4 linked regions of the Alligator mississippiensis genome follow. The protein of the gene in region 1 interacts with the protein of each later gene in a pairwise test. Links are inferred from orthologs where the notes say so. Each region holds a gene or a part of one and is shown on either strand. Other genes may lie near its edges. The genes, in order: SREK1IP1, STAC3, SDCBP2 and PRR13.

Region 1 (7,211 bases):
TTGTCTCAGACCAACACGGCTACCAAGTACACCCCTTAAATACTTTAGGCATTTCTGCATCATGCAATATTGGCTTCTAGTCTCTGTTCAGGAAGGAATCGACACTTTTCTTATCCTTCCTCTTCCAACATACTTCCACAATCCCTTTGTGTTCCCTTGTAGCCATGTTTCTGTTTTTGTAAGATTCCTTTTTGAACTCTGAAGAAATTGAAGAGCTCAATATTTAGCCAAGCAGAGGCCTTGCTTCCTATGAAGATAGCATGCTCATGCCCTTAATAGTGTATCTTCAAGAAATAATAAATCCTTCTGATTTACTTTTTTCCCCATAGACTTGCCTCCTATGGCATAGTATTGATCAGTTCTCCGAATCTGTTAAAAGCTGTTTGCCTTTAGCCCAATGTCTTTATTTTATTGTTTTCCCATCCTTCTTTCTGTATGCTAGTTCTCATGACTTGATAAAGAGTTCACTGTCTTCCACCTTCAGATTCTCAACCAATTCCTCCCCATCATTAAGGAATAAATTGAGAAGATCCTCCTCTAGTTGGTTTTGCCACCATCTGTACCATAAAGTTGCCCCCAACACAGTCTAAGAACTTGCTGGAATGTATGTGCACTGCCATGATACCTTACTTATTATGGGAAGTTCTAGGAAAAGTCCCTCATGAACACACACGTCATATGATTTAGATATTTAATTTAACCAGTTTTGAAAAGGCCTTACCCATCCTCTCCTACTAATTTGGTGGGCTATTGTCAGGGTGACCCCATTATTTTGAAGGAAAACTGGGATGGGGGGGGGGGTCACATACATGTACATACCCCAGACCTGCACGCATGCACCCCTTCCCCCACCCAGAGCCGAGGTTCGAGCAGGGTGGGGTGGGACAGTGCGGAGGCCCAGGTTCAGGCTCTGTTCCTCCATGCGCAGAGGCTGAACCCAGCTGGGAGAGGCTCCTGTGTGGTGCCCCTCAAGCTCTGCCAGCTTGCGCTATGTAGCCACACAGCGCCTTCCCCCAGCCACTGTCAGCCACCTGGGGCCGCCACATGAAGCCCAGACCTTGGCAGCAGCAGAACATGAGGCTGCTGGTGGCCATGCCGGTTTACCTTATACATGTTCCTGAGCCCCAGCCCCCTTCCCTGGTGCTGTTCCTGAGCCCCCGCCTCACCTCAGCCCATCCCCACACTAGGCAGGAGGGTCAGGTCAGATACCATGCTCAGCGCACCCCTGCAGCCTCCAGAAACTGCTCAGGAGGAACAGCACCAGGTATGTGTAGGCAGGGTGCTGCCTCTAATCCTAGACTTCTGCTTCTATTTTAGGCAACTGGCAGGGACAGCCCATGAAATTGGGGACTGTCCTGGCCAAAACAGGACATATACCTTAGCTATTGTAGATACCCACCAGGACCATCCTCCTTGCTGTTTTCCTCTTTTACCTTAAATCCAAGACTCTAAACAGGACCTCAGAACAAGTACATGTATTTTTAACATGCAAAATATACTGCAACTGAACATTTGCAGATGAAGTCTCTGATCAAATCACACCATAGTTTGAATGAAAAAATATTTTCCTTCTCCAATCTGAGAAATGCAGAGGCAGAAGTGGAAGATCGGTTTGGATTTGCAGCAGCAACAGCAGCCATAACATACTGGCTGTCGACTTTTCTCCCCTCAAAGTGGTGCTGATACACAAGATATAGCTCTGAATTAAAGCATGTGATAAGAATTTATCATTGGTGACTTGGCATGTGACACTTGTGTGCATCATTTTATCTCATTATACAAGGGGTTGGCAACCTATGGCTCAGGGCACTGACATTACACTTGTGCTACGGCAGCAGTGGAGGCATCCACAGGCTTGTAACCCCTGCCCTGTTCCATATTCCCTCCGTAGCACCTGCTGATCACCAGCAAACACAGATTTGTGGGTCACAGCAGAGAGCTGGGTTGCCAGCAGAAGCTTGTAATGGCAAAATGTTGCAAATCCATGCTTTTTATCAACATCCTCTACTTCTTTTCTTTTGGCATCTTTCCGTCTATGACAGATGGTAGATATTGCAGCCTATGACATAGATCTGAGGTTTTTTTCAAACTTTTTTAACTAGTGCACCCCTTCTGGTGGCAGCGGCTAGAAATGGGGCGGGGGAGGGCTGGGCTCGCATGTGGAGGCTGCTGCCACTACCCACCACCCCGTGTTGCCACTGTGCCCCGCTCTCCCACAGCCAGTCGGACATGTGGCTCTGAGGGCTGCTGATAGGCCTTGCGCCCGGCCAATCGTGCACCGCCTGTCAGCACCCCATGGAGCCACACATCCATAGAAAAGCTGCGCATAGCAGTGGCGTGTGGTGGTGGGTGGCAGTGGTGTGTGAGCTCCCCCATCCCCTGCGTCCGGCCAGCCAGGCTGCACCTGTGCGGCCCGCAGATGTGCACTGCTGCCCTTGCCCTCTCTGGACCTGCTCCTGGGAGGTGGCGGCATGGGGTGGTGGCCACCGCATGCAAGTGCCCCCGCCCCACATCGAGCCAACCCTAGGGGATGCAGGGCCCAGGGCAAATCAGCCTGTGTGGGGCCCCTTTAACATGGCATGGGGTCATGGGACCCCCACAAAGGCAATGAAATTTGGTGCCCAGGGGCCAAGCAGATCTCATGTGCCCCGACAAGCCGCTCTTCAGCAGATGCAAAGCTGGTGACGTGCTGCGGGAGGATAGCGGGGTGGCAAGCAGCTAGATACTTCTTCTGCGGCGTGGGGCTGAGCTGCCAGCTCCAGGCGGGCCCCATGGGAGGGGCTGTGGCCATTCTGCCCAGCTCTGCGGGGCCCCCCCCAAGCATGAGGCCTGGGGCGGTCGCCCCTGATTTGCCCTACCCAAAGGACAGCCCTGCGCACATCCATCATCAGAGGCGCTGCTGCCCTCGCCCTCCCGCCCCAGCCCTGCCCCTGGGAGCAGGCACAGAAACACACTTCCCCACACCCCCGCCATTCAGGCCCTTTGTGCCTTGCAGCTCTGCAGGCAGGAGGTGTCCGCAGCACTTTCCTGCCATCAGCTATTGGCTGAGGGTAGCAGCCAATCAGGAGACTGCGCTGGGGTGAGGTGCTGCAGTGTGCGTGGGGCCACCCGGTCCCTCAGGTAAGAGGGAACATGTGGGAGCGCGCTGGAGGGGATGCCCCTGCTGTGCCCTGGGGCGCGCTCCGTCCTTGCCTGCCCGTGAGTATCCTCTATGACCTCTCTAAGTACCCCTAGGGGTATGCATGCCCCAGGGCTGATGACCTGACAGATGGTTCGCAGCATCTCATGTGACTGCATATCCTGTGCTAGCCACTGCCCATCTCCGTGCAAGGCACCCACCTTCTGGCCTCCCACGTTCGGACCCTAGAGTGGCCAACCCTCCGGGATTGCCCTGCAGTCTCCAGGAGTCAGATATACATCTCCAGGAGACTGCTAAGAGTCACCTGGGAGATAAATAATACAGCATTCATTAAAATAAATATTAAATGGTGAATCTAATGTATACAGTAGTCCAGTGAGTTTTTAAAATGCAATGGTACATTTGCCTTCCTGAGCGCGGTACAGCAGAGCAGTCATTAATGCACTGCATCACGTGATGAAACCTCAGCTTCAAACAGAGCCGCCCACCCCGTCGGTCCCACGCGGAGTAGCCGGGCCCAGGCCTCACCCCAGCCTGGGACCAGCCCTGTGCCCCGGCCCCGGCCCAGCACACCGCAGGACTGGGCCCGCACGGGGATGTGGAAGCAGGGACCGGGTATCCCGGACGACAGCGCCCACGGGACGGATCCGGCCCCGGCTCCTCGTTTCCCCAGAGTGGCGCAGCCGCCCTCGAGAAGAACGACACGGCCATTCCCCGCTGCTCTTCGCCCCCGGCCCCGGCCCCGGCCCCGGCCCCGGCCGCACCTTGCCGTGCGTAGGCGGCTCCTGGATGTAGATGTTACTCATGCTGCCCCCGCCGCGATCCGGCCGCGCCGCGCCCCTTCCCCCACGGGCCCGCCTAGCTCCGCGCGTCGCCCGCCATGTTGGGCCGTACCACTCAGCTGCGGGGGGCGGGGGGCGCGGGGGATAATGCGGTTGTGATGGGGTCGCAGGCCGCCTGGGTAGGGCGGCGCGCTACCCCCATCTCGCACTCCTAGGCCTCGCAGCTGCTCCCCTCGGGCCGCCCCCGCGCCTCCCTTTCCCCCCCCCCCGCCTGGGCGAGTGGTGCGGCCCACGGCGCGTCGCGCTCAGCCCCGGCCCGGAACAACGCGGCCCGAGCAGGCGGAGGAGGAGGATGGCGCTGCCAGGTGGGCACCTTGTTTGTGGGCAGCGGGTGGCGGCCCCTTCCCCGTGTCCTAGTCCCCCGGCCGGGCTGGGAGCGCCCTGCCCGCAACCGGGGCCAGGTCGCAGCCCAGGCTCCTGGATGCGGGGACTCCCCCTCCGCGCAGGGTGCGGGGAGTTGTCCCCACCTGTGGGGCGTAGGGTTGCCAACCCTCCAGGATCGCCCGGGAGCCTCCAGGAATTGGATACAATCTCCAGGAGACTGCTGAGAGTCACCCGGGAGACAAGTAATAGGGCGTTCTTTAAAATAAACATTAAATGTTGCATCCAGTTTAGGCCCATGGGGTTTTTTTTTTTTTAATGTAATAGTAATATGCATTTGCCTTCCTGAGTGCAGTACAGTAGACTGATCATTAATGTCACTACATCACGTGAGGAAACCTCCTGGAATAGATTCAAACAAAGTTGGCAACCCGAAGTGGGGCATTGCCTTCCTCTGCCCGGCCTGGCCCTCTCCCAGGGTCTCCTGAGCGTACGCTGACCCCCTTGTACAGCAGCCAGACATGGGTTGCTGCGTCCCCTGCTCTGCCTGGGGTAGGTGAGGGTGTGAGGGCCGTGGTGTGTCAGGGTTGAGCTCAGGCTTGTGCATGCACAGTTTAGATGTGGGTTTGTACAGGATGGTTTGGGTAGGGAGGATCCTGCCTGTCAGGCAGGGGTTGGACTAGATGACCAACGGGCGTAGTATGCACTCTAGATTATTTTCTGGTGATGTTTCAGCTCAGTTAAGCAGTCAGGCAACAGCATCAAAAACATTCACAAAGTGAACTGTAAGTCACTTTCAGAAAGCAAATTTTCCCAGATCTACAGAATACCCCACCCGTCAAGGAAAGAAGTTTTAATTGCCAAGCAGGGCTTTGTAAGGGATATGCTGTGGTTTTAAAAATGTTTCCATGCTAGTTTATTGGGCGACTTGTTTTCTTCCTGCCTGTGTGTGGAGCTTTAAAGTGGAGTACAGTTTGTACTGACTGGCCCCGCTCTTTAGGCCTGAAACTCATGTGCCTGGTGAACTAGGACAGCTGTAGAGAGATCTCCAGGCTGTAGGTTTAGTTTTGGAGTATCCTTCTCCTAGGTAGGTTCCCAGACCAGGGGTAAAGAGTTCCACCTGCCCTAGTTATTGGGGTTGGGTCGCTATTTGTCTGAAACCTCACCTTTGACCTTAATGCCATAGGATACCCTACCAAAAAGGCTGTCCAGACAGCATCATTCTCAGGATCATCAGGGCACGCAAGCCTCTCCACCACAACAAGGAAGAGGAGTTTATTGCTTCATAACAAATCAAGCTCGTTCTGCCATCAGTGAAATTGCTGCTGAGTGGAAGTATTGGCCACAATCACGATGCAGAGTAATCCCGAGTTCAGTAAAAACTCATACAGAAAATTTAAACTTTCAGCAGCCTTTTATAATTGGTTTGGGCTTTGCTGGCCTTATATATTCCTTTTTCTAGTGGCCATATCTAACATGACAGCACCCTGAATTGAATTGTTTGCAGGGTTTGAATCCCAGAAGACTGGGTTATATGTCTGTGTGAGCTAGTGGACAAGGTGTGTTAGCTCAAAGCAGCAGGACAATTATAAAGCTCTATGCATGGGCTACCTGCTGGAATGGAACCAAGGGGTGTGTATAAAAGTTATTTTTTTTCACCACTTAAAGCGCTTTATTGCCATGACAGGGGGATAAGCCTGGGTGGAAGGAGGGAGGGATTGAGGCTCCCCTAGTGAGGGAGGAAGGAGTGGGGCTGGAGTTGCTGCCCAGCTAGGATGGGGCCTGGGACCGAAATGTGTGGGCACAGAGTTTGGGCAGAGAGTGGGATGGAGCTGCAGGCGGTTCATTTGGCGGGCAGCAAGGGGCCTGGCTTTCCACTGCTGCCCACATGTCCTCCAGATTTGTGCGCAGGGCAGAAGTGGATGTGGGCTTCTTGCTGCCCTTCCCCTGTGGCCTCTGCGTCTCAGCAGGTGGGACCTGGCGCGGCAGAGTAGGGCAGGGAGGCTTGGTGCTGCATCTGGGGGGCTGGGACAGGAGGCACCTCATCATGGCAATGCGAGGCTCCCAGCTGTGACACCAAGCCTCCCCACCCCACTCTGCCTTGCTGTGTGGGGTCCCACCTGCTGGACCGTGGGGGAAGGGCAGCAGGGCAGAGAGCCCCAAGCCTACAGCAGGCATCCTGCATCTGCCCCCACCACAGGCTCCACTCCAGCTGTGCTCCACAGGTGGCAGCTGGGGCTTGGGTGCTGCTGGGGGAGGGAAGGTAACTGCAGATCCGGGTTCCTGTCCCTGTAGCCCTAGCAGCCGGGGACCCCCTCTGGCAGGACTGGGTGCAGGCAGGGGGCTGTAGGTTGGGAGTGAGTGACACCGGCAGGGTTGGTGCGACTGTGGCTTGGGAGGGAGGGGCAATGGCATGGGCAGGACACTGGCATGTCAGTGCAGCTCCACGCCTCAAAGCAGTGTGGGGAACAGCCACAGCTGGACTTGCATCCTGGTGAGCAAAGGAGGCAGGGGGAGCTCTGATTTTTCCATGATAAAAAAACCCAAAATCAAGTGCCAAAATTTATAGGTATTTAGAATTTATTTATTATAGTGATTGAGGCACTGGTAGGCTTCCAAATTGCTTTTACATTGTAAATGTAAAACATTGTGTTCAACTGATTCTCTCTCTCTCTCTCTCTCTCTCACCTATATATATATATAGAGAGAGAGTGTGAGTGGTGTTTAATTTTAACCACGGAAAAACATGGATTTGGGGTTTTTTTTGATCAGAGAGTCTGCAGCTTTTAAACAGAAAACCAGGATGCCTGGCCATGACTTAATAGAAGTGTATGGATTTACAGTACTTTAAAAATGGATACATCACTTTAAATTACCCCTTGTTAAATGAGTTATTACATTTGAAGCAC
Region 2 (7,308 bases), on another chromosome or scaffold:
CCCCAGCCTGGGCTAACGGGGTCTCCACCCCCCACCAACAGGTGCCAGTGGGCTCAGAGGCGCAGGGCGTGGTGCAGCAGCCGTTCCAGCAGCAGGTGCTGGTGCCTGCCAGCCAGTCGGTGCAGGGGGGGCTGCAGGCCGGGGGGCTGCCTGTCTACTACAGCGTCATCCCCACGGCCCAGCAGAACGGGACCAGGTATGGGACAGGCTAGCTGAGGCTGTGGTGGGGTTAGTCAGCCAGTGTGGCCCTGCTGGGCTGGGAGGACCTGGGGCGGGGTCTTGCCTGTGACCAGGGGATCTGTGCAATGGGGGCTCACACAGGAGCCCTTCAGCTCTCTCCCCAGAAGCAGCCGCATTCCTATCTCGAGGATGCATGAGCTGAAGGTGCTGCGGGTCCTTGTGGGGGGTGGGGGAGTTGGCTGGTGTTGTCCCCTGCTCCATCACCATCCACCCCCTTCTTTGCAGCTCGTCTGTTGGGTTCCTGCAGCCGCCCGGCTCCGAGCAGTACCAGCTGCCCCAGTCCCCATCGCCCTGCAGCCCACCGCAGATGCAGCAGCAGTATTCAGGTAGCGAGCCCACCTCATTGCACCCCGGGGGTCCCTCTGCTGCCCCTGCCTCAAGCAGGGGCCAGATAGTGATGCCCCCCGCAGCTGAGCCATTGCCAGGCCAGGGGAGTTGGGGCCACGTTGCACCAGCCCCTATCTCACCCCCCCCCCCCCCCCAATGTCCTCCCAGCAGGGGTGTCGGCGTCGGGGCCCGGCGTGGTCGTCATGCAACTCAATGTGCCCAACGGCCCCCAGCCCCCCCAGAACCCGCCCGTGGTGCAGTGGAGTCACTGCAAGTACTACGGCCTGGATCAGCGGGCACAGAAGCCCGGAGAGCTATACAGCCCCGACACCAGCGCTCAGGTACAAGGGGGAGCGGGGGGGCTGGGCCCAACGCATCCCTTCTGTGGGGAAGCCCTGGGCCCTGACCCACTCCCCCCCCCCCGCCCCCCCCCAGGCCAGCACCCAGCTGAGCAGCCCCATCACATCCCCCACCCAGTCCCCGACGCCGTCGCCTGTCACCAGCCTCAGCAGCGTCTGCCCGGGGCTGAGCCCCCTCCCCGTCCTCGCCCAGTTCCCCCGGCCCGTGGGCCCAGCACAAGGTAGGGGCAGGGGCAGGAGCTGTGGGGCAGCTGCCCCCGTGCAGGCCCAGGGGCTCTGGGACAAGGAGGGAGCCCCTAGTCTCTGCAGGAGGTGGGGCTTGGAGCCCAATGGGCCAGACCATTGGTCAGTCTCTGCAGGTGGCAGAGTTTGGAACCCCATGGGGCAGGGGCATTGGCTGGTCAGTGCTAGGGGGTGGAGTCTGGAGCCCCATGGGGTGGGGCCATTGGCTGTTCAGTGCCAAGGGGTGGGGTCTGGAGCTCCATGGGGCAGGGGCATTGGCTGGTCAGTGCCAGGGGGTGGAGTCTGGAGCCCCCTGGGGTGGGGCCATCGGCTGTTCAGTGCCAAGGGGTGGGGTCTGGAGCTCCATGGGGCAGGGGCATTAGCTGGTCAGTACCGGGGACGGAGTCTGGAGCCCCATGGGGTAGGGCCATTGGCTGCTCTGTGCCAAGGGGTGGAGTCTCCAGCCCCATGAGGTGGGGCTATTGGCTGGTCAGTGCCAGGGGGCGGAGTCTGGAGCCCCCTGGGGTGGGAAGCACAGGCTGCTCCTGTGGTGGGGAGCTGACAGGGACCCCCACCAATCTCTGCTCCCACCGGGCAGGCGACGGGCGCTACTCGCTGCTGGGGCAGCCTCTGCAGTACAACCTGGCGCTGTGCCCCCCCCCGCTGCTGCACAGCCAGCCCAGCTACACCTCGCACCAGGTACGGGCGCTGGGCGGGCAAGGGGTAGCTCCTACCATGGGAGGGGGCATCTTGAGGGATGGGGGGGAGCTTGGGGTCACCACTGCCCCCTCAGGAGCTCTGGGGAAGGGGGGACTGAGCCCTGCCACCCTGGCTAGCATGGGGGTGGGGGGCAAGTTGGCAAGGGAGTAGGGGGCAGCATCTTAGGGAACACCTCTTTTAACTCTTGAAGAGCCAGACAGGAATGAAGCACGGGAACAGGGGCAAGAGGCAGGCCCTCAAGTCCGCATCCACTGACCTCGGGACCAGCGATGTAGGCAAGTGATCCCCCCCCCGGGGTATGTCTGGGAGGGGCACGGGGTGTAGAGGCTGGTACCTGGACTCCTTTTCCCTCCCTGCCTAGCCAGGGTATCTTGGCCTGTCCCTCTCCTGCTCTGTGCCTCAGTTTCCCTGCCCACAAAGCTGCGCATGGGGCAGCTTCTGCCACAGCTGAACCCTAATGCATGGGCAGGGAATGCCACCCCCTCCCCCACTGTCCTTGCTTCCAGCTTGGGTAGGGGGCAGGGCATGGTCGGGGGCTGGGAGCCAGGATGCCTGCGTTCTCTCCTGGCTGGCTTCACCCTAGGAGCTGGCTCAGTGCTTGCTATTGGGACCATCCATGACACCCCTGTCCTGCAGGACAGCTGCGGGCCACGTTGCAGCGCCATGGTGGAGCCTCTTGCTCTCTCCGCCCCCTGCTCCCCCCCCCCCCAATGAAACTGGAGCCAGGAGGGGGAGTTTGCTGCGCCCGGGTTAATATTAGCAAGGAATTCAGCTGGCCGGGTCCGGGGCCAGCCGGGGCCACAGGTGGGGGTGGCTGGCACGGGCTCTGCTGGGATTTGTCCCCAGCCACAGCCGTCACAAAATCACCGCCGTGCCCAGGCCTCGCCCACTGCGCCGGGGGAGAACCCAGGCGTCTGGGCTCCTAGATCCCCTCAGGGCCGGGGATGGGCCCCCCGTGGCCCCCCTGGCTGACACCCGTGTCCCCACAGTGCCGGGCCGTGTGCTGGAGGTGACGGACCTGCCCGAGGGCATCACGCGCAGCGAGGCCGACAAGCTCTTCACGCAGCTGGCTATGGCGGGCGCCAAGATCCAGTGGCTGAAGGAGACGCGGGGCCGGCGCGGGGCAGGCGCGGGGGCCGGGGACGGGCGCGTGGGGCCTGAGAACGGGCGGCACCCCGACCTGGCGGCGCTCTACACGGTGGTGGCCGTGTTCCCCAGCCCCCTGGCCGCCCAGAACGCCTCACTGCGCCTCAACACGCCGCTCAGCCGCTTCCGCCTACGTGGTGCCAAGCGCCACTACGACCTGCGCGTGCTGGAGCGCGCCAGCTCCCAGTAGGGCCCCTGCCGGGCTGGGGGCTGCGCTGGACTTTGGCCCCCGGAGCCTCCCCGCGCGCCTCTGCTTTCGTTCACCCCGTTTCTTTCTGGAGATATTTATATGGACGCGATGAAGAGGAGACAGTGATTTGTTCCTGCCACTGCCCTTTGATTTTGGAGTGAGAGGTCCTCGCCCGGACCCCCATAACCCCCCTGGCCTGGCCTGGTTCCCCCTTGACCCAGCCTGGACCCCCCACAGACCCCCCCCTAGCCTGGGCTGGAACCCCCCAGCCTGGCTTGGTCTGAACCTCCCCACATCCCCTGTGTCCTGGTTGATCTCCCACAGCTCCTGGACACCCCCAAGCCTGGTCTGGTCTGAACCACCACCCCCCAACAGACCCCCTGGCCTGGCATGGATCTCCCAAACCACCCCTAGCCTGGCCTGGGACCCTTGCCCCCACAGACCCCCACAGCCTGGCCTGGACCCCCATAAACACCTCAGCTTACAGCTCCCAGATCTCCCCCCCCCCCCCCGAATCCCCTGGCCTGGCCTGAACCCAACCCCACACACAGCTGTGATCCCCACCCCCAGGCTCAGTCTGGACACACATCCCACCCTGGCCTGTCCATGCAGCCTCCAGGCCATAGCCAGGACCCCAGCCCCTCGCCTTTCTTTGAGCCCGTCACAGCCAGGTCCTGACCCTACAACCCTGGTCCAGACGCCCCTCCTCCCAAAGCCCCCAGACTCTCCCAGCCTGGCCTGGACCCTCCACCCCAGCCCAGATACCCTCTCCCCACCACCACCGCCACCACCCCTGGGCTGGCCCTGATGCCCCCAGCCCCATGTCCGTTGCTCTGTCGGGCGCCGCGTGGCCGCACTGGGTTGGTCACTGTACATTTTATTTAATGGGTTTATTATTATTATTGGGGGGGGGCGGGGGGATTTTTTGATTTTTAAATATAAAAAGAAAAAAAAATCGTCTGTCACCAAGGCGGTCTCCGAGTCTGACCCCTGGCCTTTGACCCCATCTGCAAGGGGCATGGTTACACTGTGGGGGGTGGAGAGGAGAACTGGGTTTGACACCCTGCCCCCCTCCCCCCATGCAAGGAGGGCAAGGGGGTGTGACCCCCATCCATGGGGTTATGATCTCATGACCCCCCCCCCCCAAGATGACATATGTCATGGGCTGGGCCCTGGCTGTGCCCCCCCCCCCATGGGGCAGTCCCCCAAGCTGTGCCCTGGCCCCCATGAGCGTGGCCAGCCCCCGCCCAGCTCGGGTTTCGCTGTCATGCGGGCGCAGCTGTCCTGGCCCATCCGCGGGCACCGCCTGGAGCTGGAGTGAGAGGCCCCTGCCCAGCCCGGCCACAGTGTGAGTGCCCCCTGCACCCCAGAGCCCCTGCACCCCTCCCCGTCACCCCCCTCGGCCTTACGAGAGCTGCGGGGGCCCCAGGGGTCTGCTGTCTGTCCCTGGGGGTGGGAGAGGCCCATGGGGGGGGCCAGCTCTGGCGCTTTCCTTGTACAAGCGTCTGGGAGAGCTGGCGGGGAGACCCAAAGGTGGGCACATTGCAGGGGGGGGGCAGTGACACTATCCCCCAGAGGGGGGAGCCCCTGCAGCCCTGGCAGTGCCTCTCCTGCCCCCCAGCCCCAGCCATGCCCCGCACTTCTGACCCGCAGCCCCCGAACAGTGGGACTGGGACTGGGGGGCCAGGTAGATCTTGGGAGTGGGGGGCACAAGAGCAAGGGAGCCAGAGCCGTGACCCCTACCCTGCCTTGGCAGTATGACGGAGAAGGAAGCACTGGAGCCACCGGCCTCACCGGGAGAGATGGCCGAGGGCCAGGTACGTTCTGGGGCCAAGGGGTCCTGGGCAGCCCTAGTGGGGCAGGGCAGGGCCTTGCCACTGCTCCCCCCCCCCCACTTGAAGGGCCCTGGGAGAGTGTTATTTGTGTCTTCCTAGCAGCCAGCATCTCCCCAGGGGGCCGAGTGGGCCGGAGGGCTTGGAGCCTGGATGCCTGGGTTGTACCCCGGCCTGGACGAGGGGGAGCGCCTGGTGCTTTAGGGCAGTGGGAGCTGGTTTCCGTGCCCAGCTGGGGAAGGGCTGTGGGGTCTCCTGGGTTCCACCCCTGCCTCCATCACTGCCATGCGGCCCAGGACACTCCCCCCATCTTCTGTGCCTCAGTTTCCCTGCTGAGCCCCATCTCCCCCAGATCCAGCGGCTCCGGCACCTCTTCCAGCGCAAGGCCCCGGAGCCGCCGCCTGAGACGCCCGAGCCGCAGCCCGAGAACGGGGCCCTGGTGAGCCCCTCGGGGGGGCCCCTCTACTACATCTACGAGGAGGAGGAAGAGGAGGAGGAGGAGCCCGAGCCGCCCCCGGAGCTACCGCCGCCCGTCAATGACAAGCCCCACAAGTTCAAGGAGCATTACTTCAAGAAGCCCAAGTTCTGCGACGTCTGTGCCCGCATGATTGTCCGTGAGTGGGGACCTCCTTCCCCTACCCACAATCCCCTGGGGCAACTACGGGGCCACTCGGCCCTGTCCACAATCCCCTGGGGAAACCATGGGGCCACTCAGCCCTACCCAGAATCCCCTGGGGCAACCACGGGGCCACTCGGCCCCACCCAGAATCCCCTGGGGCAACCACGGGGCCACTCGGCCCTGCCCACAATCCCCTGGGGCAACTACGGGGCCACTCAGCCCTGTCCACAATCCCCTGGGGAAACCATGGGGCCACTCAGCCCTACCCAGAATCCCCTGGGGCAACCACGGGGCCACTCGGCCCTGCCCAGAATCCCCTGGGGCAACCACGGGGCCACTCGGCCCTGCCCACAATCCTCTGCTCTGGCTGGGTGTCCGGGGGTGCTGGCAGAAGGGGGCTCAGGGCTGGGGTGGGGGTTGCAGGGGCTGCAGGGGACCAGGATCTGGGGGGTGCAGGGCACCAGGGACCAGGGGCTGGGGGACCGTGAGGGGCCGCAGGGCACCAGGGAACAGATGCTGGGGCTGGGAGGCTGCGGGGGCCATGACCTGGGCCTGGGGGGCCATAGGGTACCGGGGGCTGGGCCTGGGGGGCCGCAGGGCACTGGGGACCAGTGGCTGGGTGCTGGGGGACCAGGGCTGGGGAGCCAGGGGCTGGGGCTGGGGCTGGGGGACTGTGGGGGGCTGCAGGGTGCCAGGGGCTGCAGGGCTGGGGCTGAGCCGTCCCCTCCTCACAGTGAACAACAAGTTTGGGCTGCGGTGCAAGAACTGCAAGACCAGCATCCACCAGCACTGCCAGTCCTACACCAAGATGCAGCGCTGCTTCGGCAAGATCGTGAGTGCGGGACCCCGCATAGCCCAGGCGTCCGGGTGCTGCCCCGGCCTGCCAGGGCCACCACCTTGCAGGGCCGGGGGCAGAACCCAGGTGTCCGGGCTGGCCCCTAACCCCTATTCCCCCGCAGCCGCCCGGCTTCCGGCGGGCCTACAGCTCGCCCCTGTACAGCGACCAGCAGTACGCCTGCGTCAAGGAGCTGCTCTGTGAGTACCTGCCCCCCCCCGGGGGCGCTCGGGGACTCCCCAGGCCCTGCCCCACCATGCTCAATGCCCCCCTGGGGCATCCCCCCCCCCACAGCCGCCACCAACCGGAGTGACCCCGTGTTCGAGACCCTGCGCACAGGCGTCATCATGGCCAACAAGGAGCGCAAGAAGGGCCAAGAGGAGAAGAAGAACGTGAGGGGGCATTTGGGGGGTGCTGGGGCACTGGGGGGTGGGGGGACATCCATCTCCCCAAGGCATCGCGCTGTTGTGATGGGCCCTCCACTGACCCCCAGGGCATTGTGGGAAACTCCAGCCTGGGAGTAGGCTGGGGCAGGGCCTCCCCCCAAGTCTGAGAGGCCCCAGGAACCAGCTGCCCAGAGCTGCCTCGCCAGTACCCAGAATCCCCTGGGGCAGCCACGGGGCCACCTCCCCTTACCCACTGTCCCCTGGGGCAGCCACGGGGCCACCCCCCCTTACCCACCGTCCCCTGGGGCAGCCACAGGGCCCTATTCCCCTTACCCACAATGCCCTGGGGCAGCCACGAGGCCACCTCCCATGAGCCACAGTCCCCTGGGGCAGCCATGGGGCCACATTCCCCTTACCCACAATCCTCTGCTC
Region 3 (7,869 bases), on another chromosome or scaffold:
GTTTCCCCACGTGCACATGCGTGTGTGTATGAGTGTGTAAGGTGACGGGTGCCGTGAGCCAGGGAGCATCTCTGAGGCCCCACTGGGTGCCGCGCTGCGCTGGGCTCTTGCGGGCCGGGTGCTGATCTCTCCGAGAAAAGAGGCTTGCGGTCTCCGGTGCCCGTGCTGCGTGGCTGGGGGGGGGCTGGGACCTGCACTGCGGTTCCTGTCCCCTCCCTGCCACGTGCCAGCGTCCTGCAGATGTGAGGAGCCTGGCACCAGTTCACAGGGTCTGTAGTTGTCATATGGGAAGGTGGGCTGAGTCTTGGGGCTGCGGTGCCCTGGCTGGGAGCATTGCTCCTTGCCAGGGTCCTGGGCACGCTGCTGCTGAGGGAGGAGGTGCCCGCTTGGGCTGAGGCAGAGGGGTCTTGGCACGGATCTCTTAGCTGGGCTACAGGGCAGCAGTCCCCAGTGCCACCCCTTTTCCCGAGTCCTTGGCAAGAAGAAGGTGGCACCTGGGTGCGTGAGAACACACCCATGTCTGCAGGGACAGCCTGGGACAAGGTGCAGCATGGCAAGGGTTGCACTAGGGAGCATTTACTGCTAATTAACTAGCTGTTAATTATCCCTAATCGCACATACCTGAGGCAGGAGTGGAGACTTGGAAAACCCCGCTGTGTGGCCAGCTGGTCACTCCCAGGGACGGGCTGCCCTGCGTCTGGGGGGACAGCCGCTTCCTCCAGCATCTCCTGCAGCTCGGCCGTCTGTCGCGTCCCCGGCCGGCGCTGCGGTGGTTCTCTGTCTGGTGTTTGCTTGCACTACTGTCAAGCTTTGTGGGCACGGGCCCTGCTGTGCTCAGCGTGGTGCCCAAAGCACCTGCCCCAGAGGGCGTGTGGGCTGAGCGTGGCCTGGCGCAGCAGGGCAGGCTGTGCCAGCTGCGTGCTGCAGCATTGCCCCGAAGCCCGGCTCTGCACGGCGCCGGAGGCTTCTCCGCAAGGCAGGTTTGAGCCAGCGGGCACAGCCGGGCTCAGACTGGCGTGCCGTGTCCCCGCGCTGCCTCCGCCAGCTGTGCTCTGTGTCTCCCGCAGATGAGCGTGGGCCAGCGAGCGAAGATGACCATCTCTCCGGACTACGCCTACGGCTCCACCGGCCACCCCGGCATCATCCCGCCCAACGCCACCCTAATCTTCGACGTGGAGCTTATGAAATTGGAATGACAGGAGGCGCCCAGCCCCCGCTCCCTGTCCTTGGGTAGGTGGGGGGCTCTGGGGCAGGGTCCTGGGAGGCAGGTGTCAGGTCCCGGGTGCGGGGCAATTGGGCTGAGACTCGAGATGCAAGGGGGGTGATGGCAACGATGCACCCTGCGGATCCGGCTGCAGCCAGCCCCTCGTGCTGAGCAGGTGGGGCGTCGCGTCCCTCCGTAAGGGGCAGGCCGCTGGCACCCCATTGCCAGCTGTCCGCAGGTGGCATCGGCTCAGCACCATCTTTCCCCCCTCCCTCCTCCTTCTCTCCCAGGTTTGGCACATGGAGGAATCCAGAATCTCAGCTTCAAGAAGAATGCACATGACTTTGTACGGAGCTTTTCCTGATATTCCACTACACTCGTTGTATAACCCTGTACCTTGATTGAATGTGTTTGGTCACTCAGCTTTGCCTCTGACTCTTCCTCCTTGTATTGTGTTTTTATGTCTTTTAAACTATACGCCGTAAACCTCAACTTTTAGGGGTTTTTCTTCTGGTTTTGTTTTTTTTGTTTCCCCCCCCCCCCCCTTTTGGGCGAGCTCTTCATCTGGTTGTGTTGCCGGCTTTAGTGCGCCCTGGGGCGACCTGTGCTAGGGATCGTTGGAGCGAAGGAAATGTCGGGAGCTGGTTTTGTTCTGTTTTTTTTTTTGGATGCAGATATCTGTTGTGTATGACAAAGAGATTGCCGCTGCCGTTGCAAAAGCCATAGCAGAGCGAGGAGCTGTCAAGGGCTGACTGACTCTGGGGAGCAAAGGGGTCCTTGGCTGGCGGTGTTACTTCCCTGCCTGGGACTGAGACACGGGAACAAGTAGCTTCCTGCTCCCTTCCCGGCAGGGTGGTGCCACCACGCCAGCACTTCCCCCTTGGCGGTGCCCAGAGCGGGCAGTATCCTGCCCCCTTTGCTGCCTGCTGCCTTTACCAGCATGTGGTTGTTTTCCTCCCCCCGCTTCCTCCTCCTGGATTTTGAGGGTCTCTTTTCCTTTCGCCATCCGTGCTCCACCACTACATAGGCTGCAGCATCGCAAGGGGCCTTTTGTACGTGGACGGAAGGGGCTGTTTCCTGGGGGGGCACCGATAGGAACGAGCCCGCGGCGGAAAGCTGGCGCCCCCGCCGTCGCCGGGATGACGAGACCCCAGCGCTCCCGCGCCAAACCTGATGCTGGTCATCACCGCGTGCCGCGGCCTCCCGTTCGGTGCACGGCTCCACCTCCGCTGGCGTCACTTCGGCTCCCTTCCCTTCCCTCTGCCCCGCGTCGTGATTTGGTAAGAGGAATGGCTGCCATCGCTTCCTCCTCCACCGCCACATCAGAGTATTGAGTTTTATGATTGCAATAAAAGTGCTTTATGCTGGCTTTTCTCAACGCTGCCTCTCGCAGGTTTGTCACTCGCCTCTCTGCTGCTGTGCCCTTGGCGCGCTGCCCGGGGCTGCCAGTCTGGGCACCGGCTCTTGCGGCCTGCGGGCTTCTGGAGGGGGCAGCTTGCCTGGTCTCCCTTAGCAAGAGTCTGGATTCGTCCCAGTTGTGCTGGGAGACTGCCTGTCCCTCCAGCTGTCATTGCACTGCCCTAAACCTCTTAAAAAGCTCATCTTTCAGAACGCCGTCTGCATCTCCTCCGCCGCGGCAGCAGGTAACCAGCACCCGATGCCTGGGCAGAAACTTCCCCCGGCCGGGCGTATTGCAGGGGCCTGGCCACACTGCTTGCTTTGGGAGAGCTGGGCAGGGAGCGAGGCTCTCCCCAGCTCTGCCTGCATCCTCCGCGCTGTCTCCCTGCGTGGGTCAGCAGGGCCGCAGGGGGACCAGGGAGCTTGATATTTTTCATGCGTGTGGAGCTGGGCTGGGGCCCGGGTTTGCTCTGCAAGGGGAGCTGATCGTGCAGGAGGGCGGCTGAGGTTACGTCTGGGCTCGGGGGAAAGCGGGTCTGGGAAACAAGCTGGTCAGCCTGGTCTCCTCCTGCCAAGGGATGTGCAGCGATGGTGAGCCTGCTGCTGGCCTGTGGGGCAGTGCATGTGCCCAGGTCTCGTGCTCCCCCCACCCCACCTGCCACGGCTTTGATGCCCACAAGACCGGCTCGCATCCGAGGGGCTTTTTGTTCCGGCTTTAAAATGCTGCGTGAGTCATCGCTTGCTGCCTGCGGCTCCCCCAGCCCTCGCTAGGCACGGGTGTGGGTGGCACCGCGGCGAGCGCCTGTCAGGTTTACTCCCGGCCACTGCTGCACGTGTGGGAGCGGAGGGGACAGGCGGGGGGGGGGGCGTTTGCTCCCCAAAAGATCCCACCTTCGGCCAGTGGCAGTCGGCCGCAGCACCTGTGCCGTGTCTTGGGTGGGAGCAGCATTGCAGGTGCCTGGGGTCGGCTCCTACCCCCTGCCCACCTGGAAGCGCTGCCTTGGAGCGCTTTGCCATGAAGTCTCTGTGCTGCTGCCCTTGCCCCTGGCACCCCGCTCTGCTGCTGGCTCAGGATCCCAGACGGCGCTGCGGAGGCGGCCGGGCAGGGCCTGCGTGCTCAGCGTCAGGTGTGACGATTGCTAAGGTGCCCTCTGCTTTGGCAACGCCATCAACAGGGAAATACCGAGCGCTCGGGCAACGGCTGGCGGGGCTGCAGGTTGCATTCTGCACAGGTGAGCTCACCTGGATGCCGGCACCAGGGGCGGGCTCATCGACAGCTCCCTCAGCCAATGAGACCGGGGGGAGGTGTTGCACCCTGGGTGTTGTTGGCATGCAGAGATCCTCAGGTGGGTGCCTGCCACCGGGCAACTCCTCCCAGGTGCTTTCCCCCAAGGACCCACCTCCTGCCCCAGCCAGCGCTGCCCCAGAGACGCAGCCGGGCTTCCCCGGGGCTTGGCCCCAGGCAGCAGGCAAGGGCCGTTCCTCCCGCGTCATCTCTCTCGGCCTCCGCCGCAGAGTTTTGCAATCGGAGCAACCGGTTTCTCCGCTCCCAGCTCCGGGGCAGAGGTGGGGCTGCTGGTAGTTTCGGGAGGGGGAGGCGGGTCTGGACTGCGTCCAGCTCCGCGCGGAGCGGTTGAGGATACTGGGCACCGGTGCACGATGCTCCGGGATGGGGGTAACCCTGTCGGGGGAGCATCCGCACCGGGGCCTCGCCTGCAGCTGGAGCCCGGGCGCCTTCTGCGCGCGGTGCCATGGGCCTTGCCTGCCGCAGAGGGCGAAGGTCACTCGGTTGCCAGTTTCGGGAGCTCTGCTTCCTCTTCCTCCTCCTGCCCTATTGCCCGCACTCCTGTCCTGCCCTGGCGTCGCAGCGGGCACGGCCGCGTGCCCGGGGGCCGGTGACGGGGGTGGAGGGGCCTGAGCAGCTCCGCGCGACGGGGCTTCGTGCACCTGCTCGGACCCGTGCCCTGGCTGCAGCATTGCTCAGTGGTTAGAGCATCCACCAAAGCGTCAGGCATGCAGGGCCTAGGCTTGCTGCTGACTCAGGCGTCCCTGAGTCACTGTCCCCGCGGCTCTGACGTGGGCGTGCTTCCCACGCCGTGCGCGTGTCGCATGCGTGGAGGAGGCCGGTGCCATGGCAACGGCAAGCATCACAGCTGAGCCGCCGGGACGGCACGTCCCCGCCGAGGGGAGCGTGACATCACTGTGCGCTGGGTGCAGAAGCGCCCGCCGGCCGTGGCAGGAGCCTGTCGAGCACCGGGGCTGGCGGGGGCTCGTGCTTCCCTCTGCAGCCAGCTCGGGCACCGGCGGGGGGAGAAGGGCAGCAGGACCCGGCTGCAGCACTGGAGACCTGGCAGGGGGCTGCAGGGAGCAGCAACAGCCCTTGCAAATAGATCCTCTGGATCAGACCCGCTCCGTGCCCCCAAGCAGAGCGCCTGGTGCACCCCTGGCTCGGGGCACGTCCTAGGCCCCCTCGCCAGGCCGCGCTCCCTCTGTCACCTGTCACCTGCTTGCCTCCTGCATTCCCGGCCGGTGACTGCCAGTCAGCTGATGGAGACGGGCCCCTCCCAGGCTGCCAGCCCTGCTGGTATAAAGCCAGTGGGCTTTGACCCGGGCTGGCAGAGCGTCCCGGGGAAGGGAAGCCTGTTTGCAAGGTGAGCAGCGTGCTTGGGGGTTGCTGTTTGCAGCCCGGGCACAAGGAGCGTGTCACCCGTGGGTGGGCGCTGCGGGCCGGGGGTGCTGAGCAGTGCCGGGAGCTGGGCTTGCCGTGCCTTGCTCCGTGCCTCGCCCGAAACCACAGCCCGCGACGGGGAGGCTGGGGCTTGTTTTGCTCCGACTAGCCCGGGCTGACATCAGGCCGGGCCTTGGACGGCCCCGGGCCGCAGGGGAGGCTCTGGGGAAGGGCGAACCCACAGACGAAGGCTCGTCCCATGCCTGCAAGGATGGCGCTTTCTGTTTTGTGGGCTCTGGAGGTGCCAAAAGCCAAGGTCCCTCCCAGCATCCTTGTGCCCTTGGGGCAGGGGGCTGCAAAGAGGACGGAGCTGGGCTGTGCTCGGTGGGGGCAGATACAGGACAAGGAGCAATGGGCTCAGGTTGGATATTAGGAGAAACTCTCATGAGGAGGGTCACTGGAGGGGTTACGCAGAGCGGTGGTGCAGTCTCCATCCTCGGAGGTGTTTAAGACCTTGGCAGACAAAGCCCTGGCTGGGATGATGGAGTTGGGGCTGGTCCTGCTTGGAGCAGGGGTTGGACTAGATGTGACCCCCGAGGTCCCTGCCAACCCCCCTCCATGAGTCTGCGATCGGTCGTGGCCTGCGCCTGCGTACGGCGGTGGAGCCTGGCCCAGGTGCCCCAGACGGACCCGAGGGAAGCGGAGGAGCCATGGGGAGGGGAGGAGGCATCTCCCCTCCGCAGCCCGGGTGGCTTTGCCTGCAGAGCGGGCTGCAGGGTCAGGTCCGCAGCTCCCCAGGCCGAGCTCAGCACCCTGCCCCGGCTGCTGGAGTAGCCCCCAGCCCGCGGCGCTGCCACGTCTCTGAGTTGTCCGACCGGGACGTGCCATGCCACCGCGCTGTGAACGGGGCAGCGTCGCGGCGTGTCCCCCTGTCACACCGTGGTTTGAGTGAGGGTGTCACCTGGGACGCTCCGCTTCCTGCTCTGCCACAGGGGCCCTGTGGGGCCCTGGTCATGTCACTTAGCTGCTCTCAAGTTCCCGGCTGTAACTGCCCCGCTCTGCTGCCCTAGCGAGATGTTGCCAGCCACGCTGGGCTCGGACCTCGTGGCCTTCAAGGGAGCCACTGCCAAGCACCCAAGGTAGCTGGGCCTGGCTGCAACCTCCCCACCCGCTCCACAGGATGAATCTCCAAGCACGTGGCCTGTCTGCAGCTCGGTGCTGGCACGGTCACTCCGACTAGAGGGTGCAAAGCCTGCGGGTGTGGGGTCTGCAGTCCCTGCAATGTGGGCACACGGGCAGATCTGTGCCTAGAGCGTGTGCTGTGATGGGGGCTGAGCGTGGTGCCCGCCGTGGGCCTGCCGTGTGGCGGGTGCAAGGCAGGGGAGGGGGCTGCCTGGCTGCGCGGGGTCCAGGCTCCCTCCCCGGCGTGCGGACCCTGGTGCCCAGAGGTTACAGACACTCGGGCTTGAGCGGGTGCTTTCCCGGCCCGGGAGCCCCACAGCTGCGGGGAGCAGGCCCGGCACCTGGGCTTAGCCGGTGACAGGGGCACAGAGGCTGCCGTTCATGGAGCACTCATGCCAGCCAGTGCCAGGGGTGGGGCATGGGTCGTGGCCCCGGGGCTGGGTGCCAGCCCGGCTCGGGGAACAATGCACTGCCTGCGGCATCGGCCGAGGCTGCGGGGCACGGCCGGGGGGCCTGTCCTGGGTAGGAGCCTGTGCCGGGACTAGGGGCACCCTGCAGTGCCACGCCGGGCTGAGTCACGCTGCGCCAAGCCACGGGCGTGCACGGCATCACCGGCACCCAACACCTGCGCAGCAAGGCCAGCAGCCGCGCAGGGCACGGCGCAGCACGGAGCCCGAGTCACCTTGGGAGCGGCACGTGGGGAGCGTGTGCGTGCGTGCGTGTGTGTGCATGTGTGAGAGCAAGAGCTAGATGCATGTCTGCGAGAGATCTGTGGGTGCTGTGAGAGACGTGTGTGTCGGTGTGCGAGATGAGACGTGTGTGCGCATGCATGTGAGAGCGATGTGTATGTGTGTGAGAGGCGTGTGTGAGGGAGAGAGCTGTGTTGTGTGAGACGTGTGGGATGGAGATGTATGTGAGAGACGTGCATGTGTGTGTGACAGATATGAGAGGTGTGTGTGAGAGATCAGAGTGTGTGCAAGAGAGTGGTGTGTATGAGAGCTGTGCGTGTGTGACGACTGGGTGTGAGGAGGCAGAGCCGCAGAGTGGCTAACCCCCGTGGCATGCAGGCTCTGTGCTCGGGCGTGTAAAACAGCCTCTGTGGGGCGTGCCAGCCCCCCGGGGGCTCGGTGCCCAATGCCCACCCCCCAGCAGAGCCCAGCCCCCTCCCACGCACCCCTGGAAAGCCGCTGTGGCTGGAATACATGCGTGTGCACACACCAGCCCCAGGTCCAGACATGTGCAGACCCCCACCCCTTCCACCCAGATGCACACCTGCAGGCGTGCACGCACACAGACGTGTCTGCCCGCCACCCCCCCCCCCAGCTCGGGAGCAGGACCCTCACGTCTCCCTGCCGTCCCCCTTTGCAGGAGGCAGCCATGGCCACGCTGTACCCCTCGCTGGAGGACATGAAGGTGG
Region 4 (6,129 bases), on another chromosome or scaffold:
ATGGGCTTTGATGCTGGGACTCCTGGGTTCCTCCTTCAGCACACGGAAGGTGGGGGGAGCAGGGGTGTCTCCGGGTGGGGGGCTCTGTCGGACCTGAGAGCTTCGTATGGGGCAGACAGGGCGGGCGAGCAGGCAGGGGGGAAGTGACAGAGAACAGAGGGGGGTCCCAGGCCCTGCCAGTCCCTGGAGGCTAGGAGCAAGAGGGGTCCATCCACCCCCGTCCATCTGTCCATCCGCAGGGCTCCCTGCGGTACTTCCTGGGTCAACATGCCAGCCCCTGGGAGGGCACCGTGCGCCTGGCGCTGTCGCTGGCCTGCGGCCTGGCCTTCCTCCATGATGAGCTGTGGCGCGATGGTGAGACCCCCTCCACCTGCCTGCCCAGCCCCCATGCACCGAGCTTGGCTGACCTGGGGGGTCTCTGCCATGCCCCCCTTCCCCTGGGTGGGGGACTTCTGGCACCCCACTCACCACCCCCCCCCCCCCATTCCCCTGCACGCCCCAGGGTTATACAAGCCAAGCGTGGCCCACCGGGACCTGAGCAGCCAGAATGTGCTGGTGCGGGACGACGGGGCCTGCACCATCGCCGACTTTGGGCTGGCTATAGTGCTGCCCACCAGCCCCGAGGCCTGGCCCAGGGACCGCTCGCCCACCGCCATCAGGAAGGTACCGGGGCTGGCAGAGGGGCCGGGGGGGTGGGACAGGGAGGAGCCCACGTGCAAGCCATAGCACTAGTGCGTGCAAGCTGTGATCCAGAGCTGCAAACATGGGCACCAGTGGGTGCAAATCTCAGCCCAGGCATGTGCACACATGGATACTTGCATGTGCCAGCCTCACAGCCGGGGTAGAGCTGCATGTGAGTCCTGGCCCCAGGATGCACCAGAAGTGACCCCTGGTGCGTATGAGCCTTGTTACTGGGGTGTGCCAGGCTGGTACTTGTGTGTGCAACTTTCAACCCAGCCATGTCCAAATGTGGGCATGCCATGTGTGTGGGGCTGGGCATGTGCATGGGTAAGTGGCTGAGACGTGTGGGTCTGTATTCTTGAGCATGTGGCTAGTGTGTGTGCGCGTACTTGTGTGTGCATGTGCTCATGAGTGTGTGTACTCACTTGTGCATGTGCTCATGTATGCATGTGCTCGCAAGTGCCTGGGATGTGCATGTGTTCACGAGAGCCTGACACGTGCGTGTGCTCATATCTGCATGTGCTCATGAGAGCCTGGCATGTCCATGCACTTACATGTGTACACGCTCATGAGAGCCTGACGCATGTGTGTGTGCACTCACGTGCACATGTGCTCACGAGAACCTGCGTGTGTGCATGACAGCCCGTATGTGCATGATCTCACATGCGTGCGCACTCACAAGAGACTGGCATGCCCAGACACTTATATACACACATCCCGGCACTTACAAGTGTATGTGCTCATGAGAGCCCAGTGCATGTGTGCGCTCATGCGCGCGTGCTCCGGCAGCTGGGGACACAGCGATACATGGCCCCCGAGATCCTGGACGAGAGCCTGGACCTGCGGCGCTGGGGCTGCGCGCTGAAGCAGGCCGACGTCTATGCGTTTGCCCTGGTGCTCTGGGAGATCCTCATGCGCTGCCCTGCGCTCTTCCCAGGTGAGGGCCCCGGGTTCAAGCCTCCAATTTGCACCGGGGCACAGGCCCCAGAGGAAACTGGGGACACCAGGGGAAACTGAGGCAGGTGGGGACAGGCACCAGGGGAACAGCACCCAGACTCACCCCTTGCCCCCCCAGCCCGGGGGGTGCAGTCAGGACCAGTGGGGGTGGGGGGCACAGGACAGTGAGACTGCGGGGGGGGAGGGGGAGGAGCCCCTGAGTTGGGAGCAGGGGGCATTGCCCAGCCTGGGGGTCATCTAGGGCTGGGCAGCCCCAGGGCTGCTTTACATAGCATCGTGCCCCCCCACTCCCCGAGCACCTAGGCCATGCCCGTAATGAAGTGGACTGTGACATTAGCAGATCTCAGGGGGTACGTACAGTGCCCAGGGTGGGGCTGGTGGGAGAATCGGCTCCTTCCCTTGGCTGTGCCCCCCCAGGCTGCAGCGTCCCTGAGTTTCGGCTGGCCTACGAGGCGGAGCTGGGCAGCAGCCCCAGCCCCATGGCGCTGCGGAGGCTGGCGGTGGAGCAGCAGCGGAGGCCAGCCATCCCCCAGGCCTGGATGGGCACCAGAGGGGTAAGGGGAACAAGGGGGGGGGTACAGGGGCTACACCCCCCCATTGCAAGGTTGAGACCCAGGGAGGCCCCTGATGCCCCCCTCTCCTCTGCCAGGTCCCCGGCTGCCTGCAGGAGCTGCTGGAGGACTGCTGGGACCCCGACCCCGAGGCCCGGCTGACGGCCAAGTGCGCCCACCAGCGCCTGCAGCAGCTGGGGCCGGAGCCTCCCTTAGGGGGGCCCTGAGCCAGCCGGGCGCGGTTCCTTATTTCCAGTTCCCTTTTCACTGCTCATCCTTGCCACCTTGAGGACGGCGGCAATGACCGGAGCAAGCTGAAGGCTCCGGGTTTCATCCCCGACGCGCCTTTGCTAATAAAAGTGTGTGATCAAGTCACCCAGCGAGTGCCCCAGCTTGAATGAAGGGCTGAGACTGCCCCCGGGCCCCAGCACCCGGGTTGGAGCCCCCCGAGTGGGCACCTGCAGAGACCCAGTGGCCCCAGCGCTGTCGGGAGCAATGAATTCATTGGTGCTCAGATGAGCCGGGCAGGGCCTGGTGTTGCCCCCTGCGCCCCCCAGGCCTGGCAGGGGAAACTGCCAGGGCCCCCAAGGGAAGCTGAGGCAGGCGGGAGCAGAGACCGGGGAAACTGAGGCAGGCAGTGTGGACCCCGGGGGGAAACTGAGGCAGGTGGGGGCAGACACCAGGGGAAACTGAGGCAGGCGGGGGGGACACCAGGGGAAACTGAGGCAGGCAGCGGCGGATACCGGGGAAAAAGGCAGGCAGGGGAGGACCCCAGGGGAAACTGGGGCAGGCGGGGGAGGACCCCAGGGGAAACTGAGGCAGGCGGGGGGGACACCAGGGGAAACAGGCAGGCGGGGGAGGACCCCAGGGGAAACTGGGGCAGGCGGGGGAGGACCCCAGGGGAAACAGGCAGGCGGGGGGGACACCAGGGGAAACTGGGGCAGGCGGGGGAGGACCCCAGGGGAAACTGAGGCAGGCGGGGGCAGATCCCGGGGGAAACAGGCAGGCGGGGGCAGACCCCAGGGGAAACAGGCAGGCAGGGGGGACACCAGGGGAAACTGAGGCAGGCAGCGGCGGATACCAGGGGAAACTGAGGCAGGCGGGGGCAGACCCCAGGGGAAACAGGCAGGCGGGGGAGGACACCAGGGGAAACTGAGGCAGGCGGGGGAGGACACCAGGGGAACCTGAGGCGGGGGGGGCAGACCCTGGGGGAAACAGGCAGGAAGGGGGGACACCAGGGGAAACTGAAGCAGGCAGTGGCGGACACCAGGGGAAGCTGAGGCAGGCGGGGGAGGACACCAGGGGAAACTGAGGCAGGCGGGGGAGGACACCAGGGGAAACTGAGGCAGGCGGGGGGGGGCAACAGGGGAAACTGAGGCAGGCGGGGTGGACACCAGGGGAAACTGAGGCAGGCGGGGGAGGACACCAGGGGAAACTGAGGCAGGCGGGGGGGGGCAACAGGGGAAACTGAGGCAGGCGGGGTGGACACCAGGGGAAACTGAGGCAGGCGGGGGAGGACACCAGGGGAAACTGAGGCAGGCGGTGCGGACTCCGTGGTAAACTGAGGCAGGTGGCGATGGACCCTGGGGGAAACTGAGGCAGGCGGTGCGGAGCCCGGGGACCGGGCAGGCGGGGGCGGCTCCTCGCCGGGGCGCGGCTGACCCCGGGTGTCCGAGCTCCCCCCCCACTAAAGCCCGCACGTCGCGGCGATCCCCCCCGCCCCTGGAGCCGCTCTAACCATTGGACGGCGCTGCCGGAGCGGGGCCGGCGGCTCCTGCCCCTTTAACACCCCGGGGGCGGGCCCTGCGGGGGGGCGGAGGCCGCTCCCTGTCCCGGTGCGGAGGCGACGGCGGTAGCGCTCTGCTGCGGCCATGTGGGACCCCAGCGCAGGTGGGAGGCCGGGCCGGGGCCGGGGCCGGGGCCGGGCGCGGGGCAGCGGGCGGTGGCCCCGATCGCCCCTTGCACGCTCACTGCAGCTCTGCTTCCCTTGCAGGCCAGCCCGGCCCCGCCTACCCCCCCGGATCGGGCCCCGCCTACCCCCCGGGGCCAAACCCGGCTTACCCCCCGGGGCCAAACCCCGCTTACCCCCCGGGATCCATCCCAGCTCCCCCCCTGGGGCCAAATCCCACCTACCCCCAGGGCCCGATGCCCCCCAGCTCCTACCCCATGCCCCCCGGCCCCGGCCAGCCCCCCTACCTGCCAGGCCAGCCAGTGCCTCCCCCCTACCCCGGGGGCCCTTACCCCCCGATGTGCCCCGGGGTGCCGGCGGGGATGGGCATTGTCGCCCCCCTGGTGCCCGGGGCCCCTGCGCTGGATAAGAAGGCGGCGAAGAAGATGAAGAAGAAGATGAAGAAGGCGCACAAGGGGCACAAGCCACACAAGCTGCACGGGAAGGTGAGGGGGGGTCCTGGGGCCAACCCAGCCTGGGATTGACCCCCACGGGGTGGGGGAGCTGCCTCTTCCTAAACGCTGGGTCCAGCCCAGCCGGGCGGTGGGGTGTCTCGTGAACGGAGTTGGAGGGGTCTCAGCCCAGCTGCCGCCAGGGGTTTCTCCCCCCTGCCCCCTTGCATGCCCATGGGAGCGCCCAGGGCACAGTGGGGCCTGGCCTTCCCGCCCATGAGCCTCACGCCCGGGTTCTTCCTCCCCGCAGCGCTCCTCCTCCTCATCCTCCAGCAGCTCCTCCGACTGAGCCCGCCCGCCCGCCGCAGCTTGCCAGGAGATGCAACCTTTGCCCGCCTGCGGAAGCCAAGCCCCTGGATCATCCCACTCCCTGAGGCCCCAGGCCGAGGCCCTGCCGCGCTGGGATCAGGGCTAAAAGCAGGCGCCAGGCACCAGAGCCAGGATCCGGCCGGGATCTGGGGTGATCCACTCAATCCCTGGTGGCCTCAGCAACCTGGGGCCTGCTCACAAGCCAGAAGGAAATCCAGACCCCCCCCTCCCCCAGCCAATCCCTTCCTCCCTGCACTGTGTAGCTTCACCCGATTGGCTGCTTTGATGCTGGGGGAGGGGGGTGTTATGGATTGGCCAAGGGGATCTTTTTAGGGGTCCCAGTGGGGGGAATTGACCAATCCCAGGCTCGCTCTTGTGATCTAGTGCAGCCTGGACGCTGCCTACCTCACGGTCAGGACTGGGCAGGACAAGGCCCTGCCTGGTCCTCAGCCCCAGACCTGCACTGGGGGCGACTGGGTGGGGGCGCGAGCTCCCTCCGGGCTCCGCAGCGCTTGCCTTGCACTCGCCTTTCAATAAAGCCTCTTGGTTTCAACCCCCCCACTGGTATCAGACCCTCTGTGGCGCCGGTGGCTTCCCAGAATCCTTTGTAGCCAGTGTCCAGGGCCGGGGGGGCTCATGGTCAGCGGAGCCCCTGACCCATGGGGTGCACCGGACCCCCGCTGTGGGCTGGGCTGTGTTGTGGGATCAGCACCTCCTGGTGCATGCGACTGTCCTATTCTGGAGCACTGGCTTTGCCTTGAAATCCCCAGCACCTGGAGTCCCGTGAGCCGGGGAAAGGAGCAGATCCAGCCCAACTGAGCTCGGGCTGCAGCAAGGAGGCGGGCAGGTGGTGGGGCCAGACCCAGGTACCCGCAAGGCCAACCTGCCGCTGGTGTAACCCAGGAGGGGCTGTGACCCCGCTGTCAGGTGGGGTTGGGAGGTGCCTGCTCTGCCCACTGCTGGCCCTCACCTGCTAATTTATTTCAGCAGGAACATGCAGCTCTTCTGGGGTGGGGGCTGGCGTTGGCCGCAGAGGCCGGGCTGCAGCCATACCCACTGCACAGGGTAGGACGGGGAGCGCCAGCTGCAGGAGTCCGGGAGAGGAGAGGAGCCCTGTGGTCCGTGAGTGCAAGGTGTTGTACAAAGCCCTGCACTGCTGAGCGTGGCCATATCCACAGGTTGGGTCTCCCCAGTGGCATCCAGACCCCTGAGCCAGGTACATCCATGACAT

What was found.
Region 2: the proteins of SREK1IP1 (region 1) and STAC3 interact in binary tests that used the Homo sapiens proteins (3 or more experiments, as listed by UniProt). The two-hybrid records come from large-scale screens. The link is inferred for Alligator mississippiensis from reciprocal best matches to the Homo sapiens genes SREK1IP1 and STAC3.
Region 3: the proteins of SREK1IP1 (region 1) and SDCBP2 interact in binary tests that used the Homo sapiens proteins (3 or more experiments, as listed by UniProt). The two-hybrid records come from large-scale screens. The link is inferred for Alligator mississippiensis from reciprocal best matches to the Homo sapiens genes SREK1IP1 and SDCBP2.
Region 4: the proteins of SREK1IP1 (region 1) and PRR13 interact in binary tests that used the Homo sapiens proteins (3 or more experiments, as listed by UniProt). The link is inferred for Alligator mississippiensis from reciprocal best matches to the Homo sapiens genes SREK1IP1 and PRR13.

What each region holds. Positions count from the first base shown.
Region 1 is NC_081826.1:261,518,780-261,525,990, forward strand, and holds the start of SREK1IP1 (protein SREK1IP1), read left to right. Parts: upstream 1-4,039; 5' UTR 4,040-4,273; coding exon 4,274-4,286; intron 4,287-7,211. Other genes in the region: spliceosome-associated protein CWC27 homolog, read right to left, coding at 3,904-3,945. UniProt on the Homo sapiens protein: Possible splicing regulator involved in the control of cellular survival.
Region 2 is NC_081838.1:7,291,140-7,298,447, reverse strand, and holds the start of STAC3 (SH3 and cysteine-rich domain-containing protein 3), read left to right. Parts: upstream 1-4,257; 5' UTR 4,258-4,352; coding exon 4,353-4,552; exon of another isoform or gene 4,553-4,960; coding exon 4,961-5,021; intron 5,022-5,388; coding exon 5,389-5,650; intron 5,651-6,389; coding exon 6,390-6,487; intron 6,488-6,614; coding exon 6,615-6,690; intron 6,691-6,784; coding exon 6,785-6,882; intron 6,883-7,308. Other genes in the region: R3HDM2 (R3H domain-containing protein 2), read left to right, coding at 42-196, 466-566, 736-908, 1,003-1,147, 1,747-1,847, 2,059-2,143, 2,858-3,204. UniProt on the Homo sapiens protein: Required for normal excitation-contraction coupling in skeletal muscle and for normal muscle contraction in response to membrane depolarization. Required for normal Ca(2+) release from the sarcplasmic reticulum, which ultimately leads to muscle contraction.
Region 3 is NC_081832.1:2,012,202-2,020,070, reverse strand, and holds the start of SDCBP2 (syntenin-2), read left to right. Parts: upstream 1-4,745; 5' UTR 4,746-5,253; intron 5,254-7,820; 5' UTR 7,821-7,829; coding exon 7,830-7,869. Other genes in the region: peptidyl-prolyl cis-trans isomerase FKBP1A, read left to right, coding at 1,068-1,196.
Region 4 is NC_081838.1:8,754,930-8,761,058, reverse strand, and holds PRR13 (proline-rich protein 13), read left to right. Parts: upstream 1-3,872; 5' UTR 3,873-4,060; coding exon 4,061-4,079; intron 4,080-4,182; coding exon 4,183-4,583; intron 4,584-4,839; coding exon 4,840-4,878; 3' UTR 4,879-5,455; downstream 5,456-6,129. Other genes in the region: AMHR2 (anti-Muellerian hormone type-2 receptor), read left to right, coding at 240-354, 503-663, 1,471-1,618, 2,056-2,192, 2,288-2,416. UniProt on the Homo sapiens protein: Negatively regulates TSP1 expression at the level of transcription. This down-regulation was shown to reduce taxane-induced apoptosis.